Drosophila melanogaster: one gene and its partner. The protein of the gene in region 2 interacts with the protein of the main gene of each other region in a biochemical or structural test. Each region holds a gene or a part of one and is shown on either strand. Other genes may lie near its edges. The genes, in order: Np and pio.

Region 1 (7,048 bases), about 16 Mb from region 2:
CGTTTGGCGGCAGAAAGGGGGCAGAGTAACTCTCATTGTTAGCGACTCTTCTGTTAGTTGCGTAATGCGGTCGTTGAACCTGGCTCGTAGGAACTTCGACCGCAACTTACTGAGTAAATGGCTTTAATTAAGCCCGAATGCTAAATCAGTATCGGGAATCTGTAATCAAGAACGGAAGCCATAAAACATATCCATGCGGATGCCTCAATTAGATGTTGAATTCGAACCGATAGATTGCCTTGTAGTACACACGATTTCAAGTCCAGTTCCACGATTGTTTGGCTTTTCGCAGCCTCAAAAATGTTGGCCAGCTATTTGTGTATTTGGGTCACGTTCAGACCATATCGGTATGCGTATCTGTATAATTGTGTTGGCGTTGCCTCTGTGTGCAAATTAACATGAATTTCTGAGCGATAACCAGAATGCCTGGGAAGAGCGAGATGTGGCCGGATCTGGGTCAGAAGCAGTAGAAGCGGATGATTTGCATGATTTCCATCGGATCGGCTGATCGGTAGATCGGGGGATTTGGGGATTGTTAAGGCTGTCCCTCCAGCTCCACCTTGTTTAATGGGCAATTAAGTAATTTCCACTCGCGACTCGATACAAGTGACAATTTCATTTGCTCGTTAAAAGTGAAATTACAATTTGTTTTGTTTGGTATTAAAAATACATTTCGCAGCGGAGTTAGCCCTGGGTAAAAGCGAAAGCCAACGAATTTCTTTGTAGCTTCTTTTTTTTTAGTATTTACCTAAATGAAAAGTGAAATGCCAGCAGCGGTTGGTAATTTCAAATGCTGAACAAAAGAATTATGCCATTTGCTATGGAACGACTAGCTCATGAAAAGAAACCACATACACATCGACTGCGTTTCTAGTGTAATCAAATAAGAAGTGCGTCTCGCTGGCCGCTGCTTTCATTTCTGCTTACCAAAAACGGAGCTCGGTGAAATTTTCTGTGTATATTTGGCTTTTTTTTATTTTTTTTTATTTTGTCTTGTGTCCACTTAGCTGCGGGCTGCCAAGGCCCATCGGCTTGGCGCTTCTGGCCACATGTCCCCATCTGGCTGTCCAGCTAAGCCCAGCTCATTAGCTCAAAACGAAAGACTTAGGGCACAAACTCGATGGGCAGGCGTGCGCATCGCCTGCCGCTGAGGGCCGCCTAATTGTTTCAGCAGCTGCCATTGCAGGTTCAATACAACCATCAACGGCAATTTCTCAATTGCAAATGCCGAATGCAAATTACAATAATTACGGCGAGCCATTTTGCGCTACTCTACGCAGGCAGCCTCATCCTATCACCCCATCATCAACTTCTCCTGACAGGCGATCTGCCCGGCAAACCTGTATAAACCAGAGCGGCCCCAGAACGTGAAATGCAAATAACGCAACAGGCTTCCTACTGCCTACAGATCATCTGTGGCCGCAAGACAAACGTGCTCCACCCCTCCAATGCCCCCCACCGCCCTCCCAGCTGTCGAGTGCGTTTTAGACCAAAGACAGGCGGACTGGCAGGCCTCCAACAATAAGGAAGAGCCGTGTGTGGTTGTCGCAGGGGGGTCGACCCTATGGTACTTATCACAAAATATATAAAATCTAACATAGAGTAACCTGAATGAACATAAAAACTGCATCACTTGTATTTGGTCAATCTCAGCTTGTATGATACTTTTAACTGAATAAAACTATCCCTTATATAATTAACTCCCAGTCCATCTAACCCCTGTTACCCACGACTTGCCATTGGCATAACCACAATCAGACCAGTTCTTTAAACCGAAAAGCAAAAATCGTTTGCCGAGGAGCCAAAGGAAGCTGGAGCAAGCAAAGTTCTGCTTAAGATTGCCTTTTCTCGGTCGCTGAGGGAAAAGCAGAAGCAGTCGGCAGTGGCAGCGCAATTGAAACACTTGTACTAAGCTGCTGTTGCTCCTGCTGTTGGTGGTGGTGGTGGTGCTGGTGCCCCAACTCTTGTGGCACGCCGCTTTGGCTCGCTTGCATTTTACAGGAATTTCAATAAATTTACAGAGGAGGGAGCGACTTTTGCTTTGGACTCGTTTCGAGCTTTGGCCGTGTTTGCGGCGCTTGAACTGGCTGCTCTTGTTTTGCAGCCTCTGCTGGTGCAGTTAGTTGCAGTTATGCGCATCTATCGGCTGCTCGGTATCTGTATCTGAATCTGTATCTGTATCTTAGCACATGCATCTGAGTCTGTTGCTGTTTCTGTTTCTGTGACCGCAGTGAGTTGGCGCTTAATTGACTTGTACGCGGTAGAAAGTGCACAAGCACTTTGGGCACAACCACTGGCACAGGGGAAAAAAGAGCCGGCGTATCTGGCGGATGCGTATCTGAGTCTCGGATCTTTTGCATTTACTTGCGTTGGCTGCCAGTTGACGTCGAGCTTCGGTTCACTGCTGCCAGCTATTTTGGGTCATTTCATTTAATTCGCTGTTACCATATGAGTGTGATTATAACTCTTACGTTTGTGGCTCGTTCGTTTTATGAGTTTCTTCACTTTTGACACTGGCTCTCGGCCTTTTTCCGCAGTTCTACCTTTCGCTTCTTTCAAAAAAAGATCACACAAAGCACTGTTAGCCGCCTGGGAAAATTTGTTTCCCGAGATTCGTTTCCTTTCCCGGTTGGGATTTCGTTGCTTTGGTTTTGGCTTGTATTCTTGCACTTGAACTTGCCTCGGGACTTTGGGTCAGGCCAATTATTTCACTCACACTCGCACACACACACGCACACTCGCTAAGTCCCCGAGTACAGACGCACTCGCACACACACACACAGTCGCGGAAGACGGAAGACGAGCAGAAGACCAAGTTAAGAGCGCGACAAGTTGCGCACGTCTGCGGTGTGGAGCTCACACAAAAGATCCACAAACCAGGTGAAGCCACTGCCTCTGCCACTGGCACTGCTGCCGTCGCTGCCGCTGCCCGCTGCGACTGAGATTTGGCCACGCCGGCAGAGCTGAAGAACTTGGTAAGACGAAATTGGTAAGTTAGCTGATTCTCTCTCTCTCGCTCGCACGCTCATTCCGGCTCAAAGTTAAAGTCAAAGCCAAAACCAAAACCAAAACCAAACCACCAACATGTGCGCATGCGTGCAGTCGGCGTCGACTGCGCTACGCGCATAACGGTTTTCATTAAGGCCAACACCGAGAACGGCCAAAAGCTAGGCGCTGTTTCTGTTTCTGTTTCTTATTCAAATGAACCTCTCTCTCTTTTGGCCACCTCTCTCTTTTTGAGGCGGCTCACAGCTGATTGGCGGCACAAGGTGTTTGGCGGGGGGTGGTGGCGGTTGTGGCGGGGGGAGTTTGGGGTTAACAGCGCTTTCACATTAAAATAGCAAGAAGCAGAAGACAGCACAAACACACACACGCACACATGCACACATCGTGGCTTTTTCTTTTAATATATATATTTTGTGTTGCAAATGAGTGTGTTTTTGCTGCTGCTCGCCATTCTTTGTCACCTGTGCGAGTGTGAGAGTGTGTGAGTGTGGGGGGCCACCGTTTGTTTGTCTTTTAATTTATGCACGTCGTCAGGTTAAGAAAGTCAATCTTTATTATGCTGCGGCTCTCACAGGCAAACCAGTTGGCTGATAAGAATTGCATGGTGACTTCCTTGGCTTTTAAGTACGTTTTCCGAGAAACGTATGGGAAGAAACTTCTAAGGAGCAGCACTTCTGGGGAAAAACACTTTGCTCATTTCAGGAAGGGAAATATTGAACTTCTGCTACAAATTAAAGCTGGCTTCTAGCTTCTTTTGTCCTTTAATCAATGCACAAATTGTAGGAATTTTTCTTTTGTTTAGGTACTGCGACCATCACACGCTCTAATCCACACATCATTAGGTCTTGTGAAAAGGCCATTTAGACTGCCAAAGAAACACATTTATACAGCACACAAGAATCGCGCCTCACAACATCTCTGTTTAATGAAGCAAGCAAAACAAAACGCACAATTAACTATCAACCACTGACTGACTTGGCGATGACGCGTGTCTTTGGCCGTTCCTTGAACTCGAGAGACCTTGACACTGGGGCTGCTCCACAGCAACTGAGGCCTGGAAAGCCAAGCGATCCCCGATTCTTTGGCCAATTGCCCGAAGAAGTGGATGCCAATGTGGATGCTAAGAGCGAGGCCTGGTGAGAGAGGAGAGCTGCTGATAAGCTCCTTTTCGATTCTTCTCCCCCTGATTATGTTATTGAGTTTTGATGCCCAGCGATGATACTGGTCATTGGTTACTGCTTGGTGGCCAGCGGAAGTCGGGCTCATTAGAAATTCAGATCATGCTCAGCATGTGGCACCTGTTGCACGGCCATGGACCCAGTTTTGGATTTCCCGCGCTATCTCAGAAGATATCTCTGTTTGATGTTCGTGCCTGTTCTGGCATTTCTGGCTAATGTTTGCTGCCTCTGTTTCTTATTTGCCCAACAAGATAAACACAGATTCCAAACCATTTCGAAATCATGTTCTTTGTGCATCATCTGTATATTGATTGAGATGCTGCCTGAAAGTATGCAGCTTGTTTTTATTTACCCAAGACGCGAACCACGTCAAATGGAAATTGCAATGTAAAAGTTAAATTCTGTTGCATGAATTTCAGCGAGTTAATGCAGGTTTTATAAAGTTTTAAAAAGTTGTAATTAAAATTATCTTTGATGTTCACATCAGACGTTTGTCAATAAAAAGCCATGGTATTTTGGTACATTTTGTTTTTATTTTTAAAACATAATTATTGGTATCAATACGATGTCAGTGAAAGTGGATCGCAAATGTAGGAATTATTCGAACAGTGTTTAATAAATATAGAAAACTTAAATAGAATGCGTGGAATGCAATGAAGTCGAATGAAGGGTGGAGGGATCGAACGGTTGGACTGATTGAGTCGAGGAACCCTAGGATGTGGAGTATGATAAAATAAATACAAGGCCCCAAGGACCTCGGTCTTACACACTAGCAACCCCGAGTCGTAGAGGAATCACATGGCCTGGCTGACGGCATGCATCTCCGCAGCGGACGCACACCTGCGCGTTGGCGCCTACGCGTTGTCATTGGCCATAACCTTGTTGATCCAGGGCACGAAACGCTGGATGTTCGTATAGACGCCGGGCAGGTGTTCCCTCCCACAGCCAATGCCCCAGGACACCAATCCGATCAGGGTCTTGCGACCGTCCATGGTCAATGTTAGTGGACCACCACTGTCGCCCTGACACGAATCCCGGCCGCCATCCTTGTAGCCTGCGCACAAGAAGACCTGGACGAAAAGAAGTTGCTCAATGTAGATCTTTTTTAAGGGAAGACCTATGCCGGTCTTAAGTCTATGCCAATGTTTACTCACATCGTGGATGGCCTCTCGGCGACCCGCTGCCCGGAACCATCGCTGACAGCGATCATTCGAGATCACCTCCACGTCCACCTCCTGCAGTACGGAGGGAACTGTGCTCTGGCCGTGTCGGGTTCGCCCCCACCCAGCCACAGTGGCCATTTTACCAGTCAATTTGGTGGTGGAAGGAGGCAGACAGACGGGTATGATGTGCTGCTTGTAGACCACATTCCTGTCCAAGCGGATCAGAGCCACGTCATTTACAAAGTCTGCCGGATTGTAATGGGGATGCACTTCCTTTCGCTCGATGCCATACTCTTCGTGGTTTAGGCGCTCCTCCTGACCACGAACATCCCACTCGCCCAATCGGATTTTCATATTGGAGTTTGGAGTGCTGCGAAGGAATCAAAGATATATAAGTATGCTTTGAAAAGATTTCCATTCAATTTTTGCTGTACTTACGAAGCCACACAATGGGCAGCCGTTATCACCCATCGATTGGAGATCAGTGCACCGCCGCAGCTGAGTTTCCTAGTGAGGAACCCACTTTTGATCAGCGCCACCTGCCAGGGATGAGAGCCAAAGCCCGTGGAATGTCCTCCTACAATGCGATTGGATCGGGTGTAGACCTCGCCGCAGCCTGGGAATAGAAATATATATAAAGTAAGTAAGCGTAACTTCATTGATCCAACCAATAGAGCACCAAAGTAAGTCAAGAAATGATCTACAGAAACTAGGATAGCAACATAGTGAGTGAGTGGTGAGTGGTTGTGTGGTGCAGCTTAAAAGAACCAATTGCAGTGGTGCCACAGAAAGAGAGATGTGTGATATGGTGGTGGTTTTGTACCCGGCACTGGACGATAGCTGGCGTCGTGGTAGCCGCCACTGCCTCCACTTTGGTACTCGTCTGCTGCCTCTCCAGCATTAAGGTCCAGGACATTGCCCACCGCAAAGGCCTGTGCGTTGGGCAGCGGTTCGTGTGGTGGTGGTGCGCCGGCGGAGTCCAAGGGCGCCTGTGACTCGGCGTCAAAGAAGCTGTCCAGGTGGTTTGTGATCCCGCTGATAGAGCCCAGGTGGCCACCGGTCTCGTGCTCCCAGCTGTTTAGGCTGGAGGAGGAGGAGGAGGATGGGCGGCTAGATCCGCCAGCGGAGGAGCCTGGCTTGTAGGGATTGGAGCCGCTGTAGTGGGTTGGTCGCTTGGTGCCGTAGTAGCTGCTTGGGTAAGCCGGTCGTGCGGAGGAGGACGCTGTGGACGATGTGGATGGGGCCGCTGACAGGCCGTTGCCACTGTGGTGGTGCAGGTGGTGCTGCGGCTTGTTGGCATTCGTCGACAGGTCGGGGTAAATGTCATGCAAGTGTATTATGTCGCCTGTGTGTGAGAATTGGGATACAGGATGATGGTCTGGCCAGCGACTCCAGAGGTCACCATTGCCAACGGAGTCGGTGTCAGACTTTCCCCCAAAAACTGGTCGGCATTCGTAATAAAAATACGAATGCGATTATGTCAGCTGAAAATTTGGGCTCAGACTGGTCAGTGGGGCTATTAAGACAAAGACTGGGTGTTCGGGTGTTTCGCACGTAATTCAAACCAATCCGAAAGCCATTTGGTGGACAGAACGGCGTCATGACTTGATTAACACTTTCGAGGAGCTCGGAGCTCAGAGCTCGGATCTCGGCCTGATTCGGGTATGCCGTAACTTTGGCGCTGTGATTTTTCCCACATTT
Region 2 (6,916 bases):
CTGAGTATTTGGAAATGATTCCAAATAAATCCGAATCCAAACCCCAATGAAGTGGATAATTAAAGGGAACCGACCTCTCGCCGATCCATCAACATATCTGGGTGAACCACTTTAATCTAGGCGCACATCTGGGAACCTTTGGAAACCTCAGCCAGTCAATTAGAATATCTGACGACTCCCATCTCGAAACTCAGATCTGGTTCCAATCTGAATTGCCAAAGGCATTGGCAAATCACAAACAGAAACTGTGCTAAGCACACAAACCCATAGAAACCCATAACGTGGCTGACCCATTTGGAACTATGCTGATGGTGGTGGTGGAGGGGATGTGTGGGGTTCTACCAACTTTCGGTTGCGGTTTGCCATTAAAATGGGAAATCTCGTCGTACATCGCGACGTAGTGTGATCAATCACACTCGGAGAAAAATGTCTTGTCATGTCGAGATCAATTTGAAGATTTCACATATTGATTAAATAAGAATTAAGGTAAGGAGGGTAAGTGTTAGCCGCTAATATCAAATACTTCGAATTCAACACGTTGCCATAGTCTTCTAGGTACAATGGCATTCACATATCGAGCCAAACTTTCTTCCTGTGTAGCATAGCGATGCGTAGAGCTAATTTCGCTGCAATTCCGCTGGCGTAGAAAGTAAGTTGGGGCGGGTTAGGGCCTTAAAGGCCGACCTCCGAAGACTAAAGACCGAAGACCGAAGACTGAAGCGAACTTCGGAGCGAAGATGCATTGTGCGATTGTCCCGCATTGTTCTTAATGACGGCAATTAACGAGTCGAACAAAAAGGGCAGCTATGGCCATTCGCCGATTGAGGTCAGAGCGGCTTTATAGCCAGACTTCGGGCTCAGCTTTTACTTTTACTCAGGTCCGAAATTCTAGTTGGCCAGCGGGCTGGGGCTAATCAAGCGTCGGAGATCAATGGCAATTGAGGCATCGACTTTCACCTGCTTGCGTATGCAGGCTCTGCTTTGTTTCTGGAAATTAGAATTTTAAATTGCGACTTCAGATGCAGCAATTAGCTGGCACTTTATGGGGGATTGATAGCTAGTCAGGTAGGTAGCCGAGAGCCAGCGGATCGGAACGAACCTATAGCCACCCGGCGATTGTCCCAAGGTCAGTGCAATTGTCTCGCCGCAGCCATTGTTCGCCTCAAATGAGCTAACAATGCTGTTAATTTGCTGTTGGCCAATTGCAATAAACGCCAACGCCGATTCCGTTTATAGATTTAATAGATTGGGCCAACGACAGCCGACCAGGCTCTAATGGGCAATTGGCCATTAAGGCAATGTGAGAACTCGAAAATCGCGCATCATTAGGGGGTCTTAAAGTGGAAAAACGCAACTCCACCCTCTTGGCCAAATGCGCTGACCTGGTTGTTGCCACACGCATCAAACTGGAGCGTGGAGACATCGGGTCTTGCCACACACTGTGCGAACCAAGTTTGGGCTTAAGACCAAAAACTGCCCAATGCGTTGCGTGTCACTGCTCTTGCTGCTGTCACGAAGTTATGTAAGTTCTCTGCAAATGGCGAGCTTCTCTGCCATTTGTCAAGATGTCCAATTGGGCTCAAACCAACTGGCCAATATGCAAACCGCTGATTGGACACCCACAATCGCTCGGCCCGCGGCGCTGCCTAAATATATTTTTCTCTCCCATTTTGACGCCTAATTTTTGTGGCCGCAGGCTTGCTTATTGCCACGAAGAAAAAATATGTACGAAATAGCAAAAAAAAAAAAACAAACGGCAAAGAAATTCGCATTGAACGTGACTTGAGCTGAGCTGTAGACATGAATGTGTTTGATTTTTATCAGCCGGGTCTACAATATTTCAGTTTCAGCCATTTATTTTGCTCTTTTTGCTGTTGCCGTGCTTTTTGCCTTTTGACTGGCGCCCATTGTTACCCGCTGTTTTTATGGTTTTTTTTTCTTTCAGCCCAAAGGCACAGCTGAAACTAGTTTTGTAGTTCCGTTTTTGCTTGGCTGGGGTTTCGCGTCTAGAAGTACTAAAAATCCAGCCTCCCAGCTGCTCGTACATTGGCAGCTACTGCTGGTCAGAATCAGCCAAATTCATCATTAAAACTTATTCATTGAGCCCCCTTTTTTTTAAAGCTAATTATTGTTTGTGATGAGGGACTCGACTGATGAGTTCGAGAAATGGGCATTGCTTATTAATGACAGGCCGAGCTGACCTTACGTTTCCCATAATAAGTTTATGCAAGTTTCCTCGGCTCAGTACTTAAGTAACTAACTTTTGAGGAGGATTTCCTCTAAACCATAAATAGTCTCGTACTTGAAGTTAATGAGCGTAGAACTTCACTGAGATAAATCACTTGTAGTGTCATAAATGCTAAACTTAGACATTGATATCATAGACGATCGCTACTATATTACAATAATTTATTTATCTTATATCTTAGTGTCTGAGAACTTAACACACCAAGTATTGGCCACAGTTCTGTGCCCACTTCCTTCGAGCACAGTCCGCAGTTCAAAAGTCTTGGCCTGCCACTCCCCTTTTAAGGCTTGGATTTGAAAGTGTTTGGAATGAATTGAACAACCTCGTGGTCGGTCGACTGCAGTCGCGGGGTTTTGCGTGGGGTTGATCTAAGGTAAAAGCCTGCATTTAAGTCCGCTTGAGTTTGCCAATGTTGGTTTAATTCGCCAGTGGTGGTGGAGGAGGCTGGAGAGTGGGGGATCAACTAGCCAGACGACTTTTCATTTTGGCCGAAAACAAACAAGCAACCCAATGCAGAGTGTCCGTTTAACGGGGGGCAAGCGAAGCTTGTGACTCACGGCTGGGTTTGGGGCACGCCTTTCGCTAGCATTTGGGTTTTTGCATAATTAGTGCTGAGCGCCAACGTGTCGTATGAGTAATGCAGTCGCGAAGTTCGTTGCCTAAGTCTTTCGTTTCAACTGTAAATCAATACCAACGAGCAGGCGGAAATCTAACGCTGAAAAGGTCTTGGCCTGGTTGAATGACCTCACCATTTTTGGCGCTTTCTTTGTTAGTTCTTCCGCGGGAGATTATAAATCAATCACACAGCTTTTGGCAATCAAGCCCACACGCATTTCTCGGCTTAGTTCATAAACCCCCAAAAATCCGTCATATGTCTTCACTTCTCTCACTTAGCTGAGCACACACATCGCCAGGCAGCAAAATAATACGAAATTATACGTACAATCATATTTTCCGTCTTTACCTTATTTTGTGCCCGCTTCAAGGTCACTGCGAGTTGTTGTCTGGCTGTTATATAAACAAGTTAACTACACGATGGCTCAGAAACTGGTATTCGAGCAGCTCGGGCGCAGATTCGCCTTTTAATTATACAAATTTTACGCTTGCGTTGGCGTTCCTCGACGCAAAGCTTTCCGAGAATGCCGGAGAACTTGGAAATATCCAACAGAAGTTGGAGATAAACGCCTTTGGCGGATGAGCCATTATTCACTAGTCAAGGCGTTGTATTCAACGCAGATGAAGACCATTACATTGGCCAACTACAATATTTTGATGGCTAACAAACCACAAATTAACCAATTAATAGGCCATGCATCACCGAAAAGGGAAAGGCCGTGCATCACATTCCCATAGTCCAAAGATGATGCAAGTGTCGGATCGGGATGGGTTCGGGGTTCATCTCTCCATCAATCAACATTTCTAATTGCTTCTTTAGACGCCAACCCGAACACAATGGAACGAACATAATTATGGCTGTGTGATCCGTGGAAGTGCTAAAAGTTCCACAAGGAGAAGAACCCGGTCTCAGCTCATGTGGGTAATGTTGGGTCAGCCAATTAGCAACAGATTCTGGCTTATAATGGCCGCACACGGAGTGGGGGTAAATGTGAATGGACCTTTGATTCCAAGAGCCCGATGACACATTACTTATGCGGTGCGCATCCAGAAATGGGCATTGAAAAACGGGAAAGAAGGCAGGAAAAGCGGATGGAAGACGGATGTCCGTGATGTGGCTACTCAAATAGCCAATTGCCGATGGCCAACCCCATCGCGGCCATATTTGTGTCCCCAGATGATGCAACTGGCTGCGAACTTGGCAGCCAACATCGGCCACTGGCAACCTTGGCAAACAGGTTCAGATCCCCGGACAGATGGCTTCTCAGGCCGCTTTTCAGATAAGGCCCATTTCATTTGCACAGAAAACAGATTGCAACGCTTCTTCAATTTGTTCCCCCGAGTACAAGTATTGGTATTCCGTGAATTCCGAATTTCGAGCGAGGCGAAGTGAAGCCAACCGGTTTGGCTGATGGATTTTTGGCACATCCACAGCGTCGGCGATTTATGAAGTCATCTTTTAAGGCTGTTTTGGGTTTGTTTTTGCAAACGGCACAGCTTTGATTTTCTGCCTGATTTTAACTGTTTCTTTTTGCGGGTTTCGGGTTTCTGGTTATTCGATTATGGCTTTTCAAACAGCAACTCCGCAACACTCACCTCTAGCCAACTTCGCCCTTTTTGCGTAATCCAATTTGTTATGTGTCCGTTGTTGCGATTTCGCTGTGCCTTAAACTGGTTGCCCGGAACGATGATGATTTTAGATATTTTCACGAATTTTGGTTTCACATTAGTTTGATTTTGTTTTTATGTACTTCCTAAGTGTTTTTTTTTTTTTTTGCGGGCTTCCTCTATAATTATTTCGTTTTGTGGCCAACACTCGTTTTACATGTTAACGCTGCGGGAATTGCACATTTAAGAGTTGGCCAAGAGTGGTAAAGAGACGCTAAGAGCTGCTCTTTGTGCGAATTGTGGCAAATAATCCGAGCTGTTGTTGTTGCTGCTGCTGCTGCTGCTATTACGCCGTCTCAACACAAAAGACTGAGGCAACAAACTTCCCGACACTTTTGCACTTCCCCAGAAAACAACGCGAAATATTCAAAAGATTCACAAATCATTCAGCACGTATTTACTGGCCCGGTTCAACCACCCGTCGAGCTTAATCGCTTCCCAAGGGCAACAACAATCAGAGAAAATCACGACAGAAACATCACAGGCACAACAGCAACAACCGCAACTATTTCAAATCTCGGAAACCCATGAACGTCTCTTGGAGCCACGGAAAGCCGTTTCAAATCCACACGCACGATCCAATTAGAACCGGGTAAACGGAGCCATAACCGCAGAGCTACGCCACTCGAAAAACTCACGCACGATTCGGGATCGAAACGAATCGGAATAGCAATCGAAATCGAAGCGATGGGATCGATGGGATAGAGGTTCGTTGAGCGCTGTGGATGTGTCTCGCACACCGACCTGGCCAAGACTGACTGGGCCCGAAACCGAGCCACTCGCACTCCGACGAAAACGCCAAGACGATGGCCGACAACCGGTCTTGCCAAGATTCGGAGTGGCGGCGCTCTGGGATTTTCGGAGCAATTGGCAAGTCTATGTGCGCTCTTCCGACGATCTCTTCACTAAGGCATAGTATAGTATCGCCTCAATTGGCGGTGGCCGCGGTGTCGCTGCCAGTTTTACAGCAGCAACACGTCGTCCAGCTGAGCTGCACTTGATGACCGGCGGGACTGGCGGCCACGCTCCGCTGGCTCCCTTTAATACACCTACGGCTGCGGGTCCAGATTGTCTTTCTAATGAGTGCGGCATAATTAGAGGGTCGGGCGGCGGTCATCCCATATCGCAAGTGTGCACATAGAGAAACATTGGGCTGGAAACCTCAACAAAAAACCCTATATTCCCTAGCTAAGGTTTTTTTAAATTTAAATATTTTTTGCCATATTCTTTAATGTTTGTTTGTGATTAAAATTTATAAAAATGCTTTGATTCGAAGCACTCTAGACTAAGTTTCCAAGTATCCAGGTGGTATCCAAGTGTCTTTGGAGCGCCTCCAGGCCAACGTCATGCTTTCGGCCACAGCTGTGCGCTCGCAACTGGAAGTCAGGTTCTGCTCAAACTTGGCAGCAGATCGGTGCAATTATGGCCAGTGTGTGGGCTGTCACCAGAACACCTTGATGACGGCATATATGGCCACTGGTGGGGCTGACTGCTTGGACTGACGAGGCTTCTCTGTGGGACACATGCTGCTCTTCTTTTGTTTTACTCGGTAGGCACATAAATCTTGAACTTGTCTCTACATTCTGTGAACCCAGCGCCCTTGCAACCTCGAGATCCCAGGTGCGAGTACAGGTAGCTGTGACACCTCGGAGACCCCGAGTTGTTGTTACTTTCTGCCGTATTTCCCTTGAAGCTGCCCGTCGCTGTTTATACTTTAGTTCTATCAATATTTATTATTATTATGCGTGTTCCTCTGTTTCGGTTATACATGTGTGGGGAAAACTTGGATGAAGTGGACGAATTATTCTTTTGAGACGTGAGAGAATTCTACAAGGACTGGGATGGGTAAATCCCTCACCATTTGGCATTATAGGTACTTTACACAAATAAAATATAAGCATATATTTATGAGTGGAAATTTTTTAAATAATTTAAAATGTATTATTTATTTATTATATATTTATGTTAAAATAGTTAAGCAAGCTCTTAAGAGCATGGCCTGCCCACCTTATTGACTATAAATAAATTTAAATAAAAAATTTTCCAACTCCTCAATCCGTCGAAAAGGGGAAGTCCAAGCGACAGTCGTCGGGGGGACAATCGAACAAACCGAAAACCACCCCATTGAACAGCAACAGGACATGGAGTTCCGGAGGGACCAGGCCGATTCCCAAAAGGCGGCCGGGGGATTCAGGACTACGTAGCCGGGGTAACTGTCACTGTTTGGCGTCCGGAAAATTTATTAACTCCAGCCGAATTTATAGTATTAACCTTGATATAGCCGTGTGGAGCTACTAGCAAATTAAATCTGAGAAAAATTCAATGTGTGTAGATTGTCCAGGTCTTTTATCAAATCACAATCGTTGTTGCAAGAAACTTAGCCAC

The links.
Region 1: of the proteins of pio (region 2) and Np, one has a biochemical effect on the other in vitro, tested with the Drosophila melanogaster proteins (one study listed by BioGRID).

What each region holds. Positions count from the first base shown.
Region 1 is NT_033778.4:9,002,533-9,009,580, forward strand, and holds the start of Np (notopleural), read right to left. Parts: upstream 4,056-7,048; 5' UTR 3,957-4,055; intron 2,845-3,956; exon of another isoform or gene 2,472-2,844; intron 1-2,471. Other genes in the region: CG8172 (uncharacterized protein), read right to left, coding at 5,039-5,254, 5,339-5,717, 5,786-5,963, 6,171-6,692.
Region 2 is NT_033778.4:24,579,622-24,586,537, reverse strand, and holds the start of pio (piopio), read right to left. Parts: upstream 5,294-6,916; 5' UTR 5,170-5,293; exon of another isoform or gene 4,698-5,169; 5' UTR 4,460-4,697; intron 1-4,459.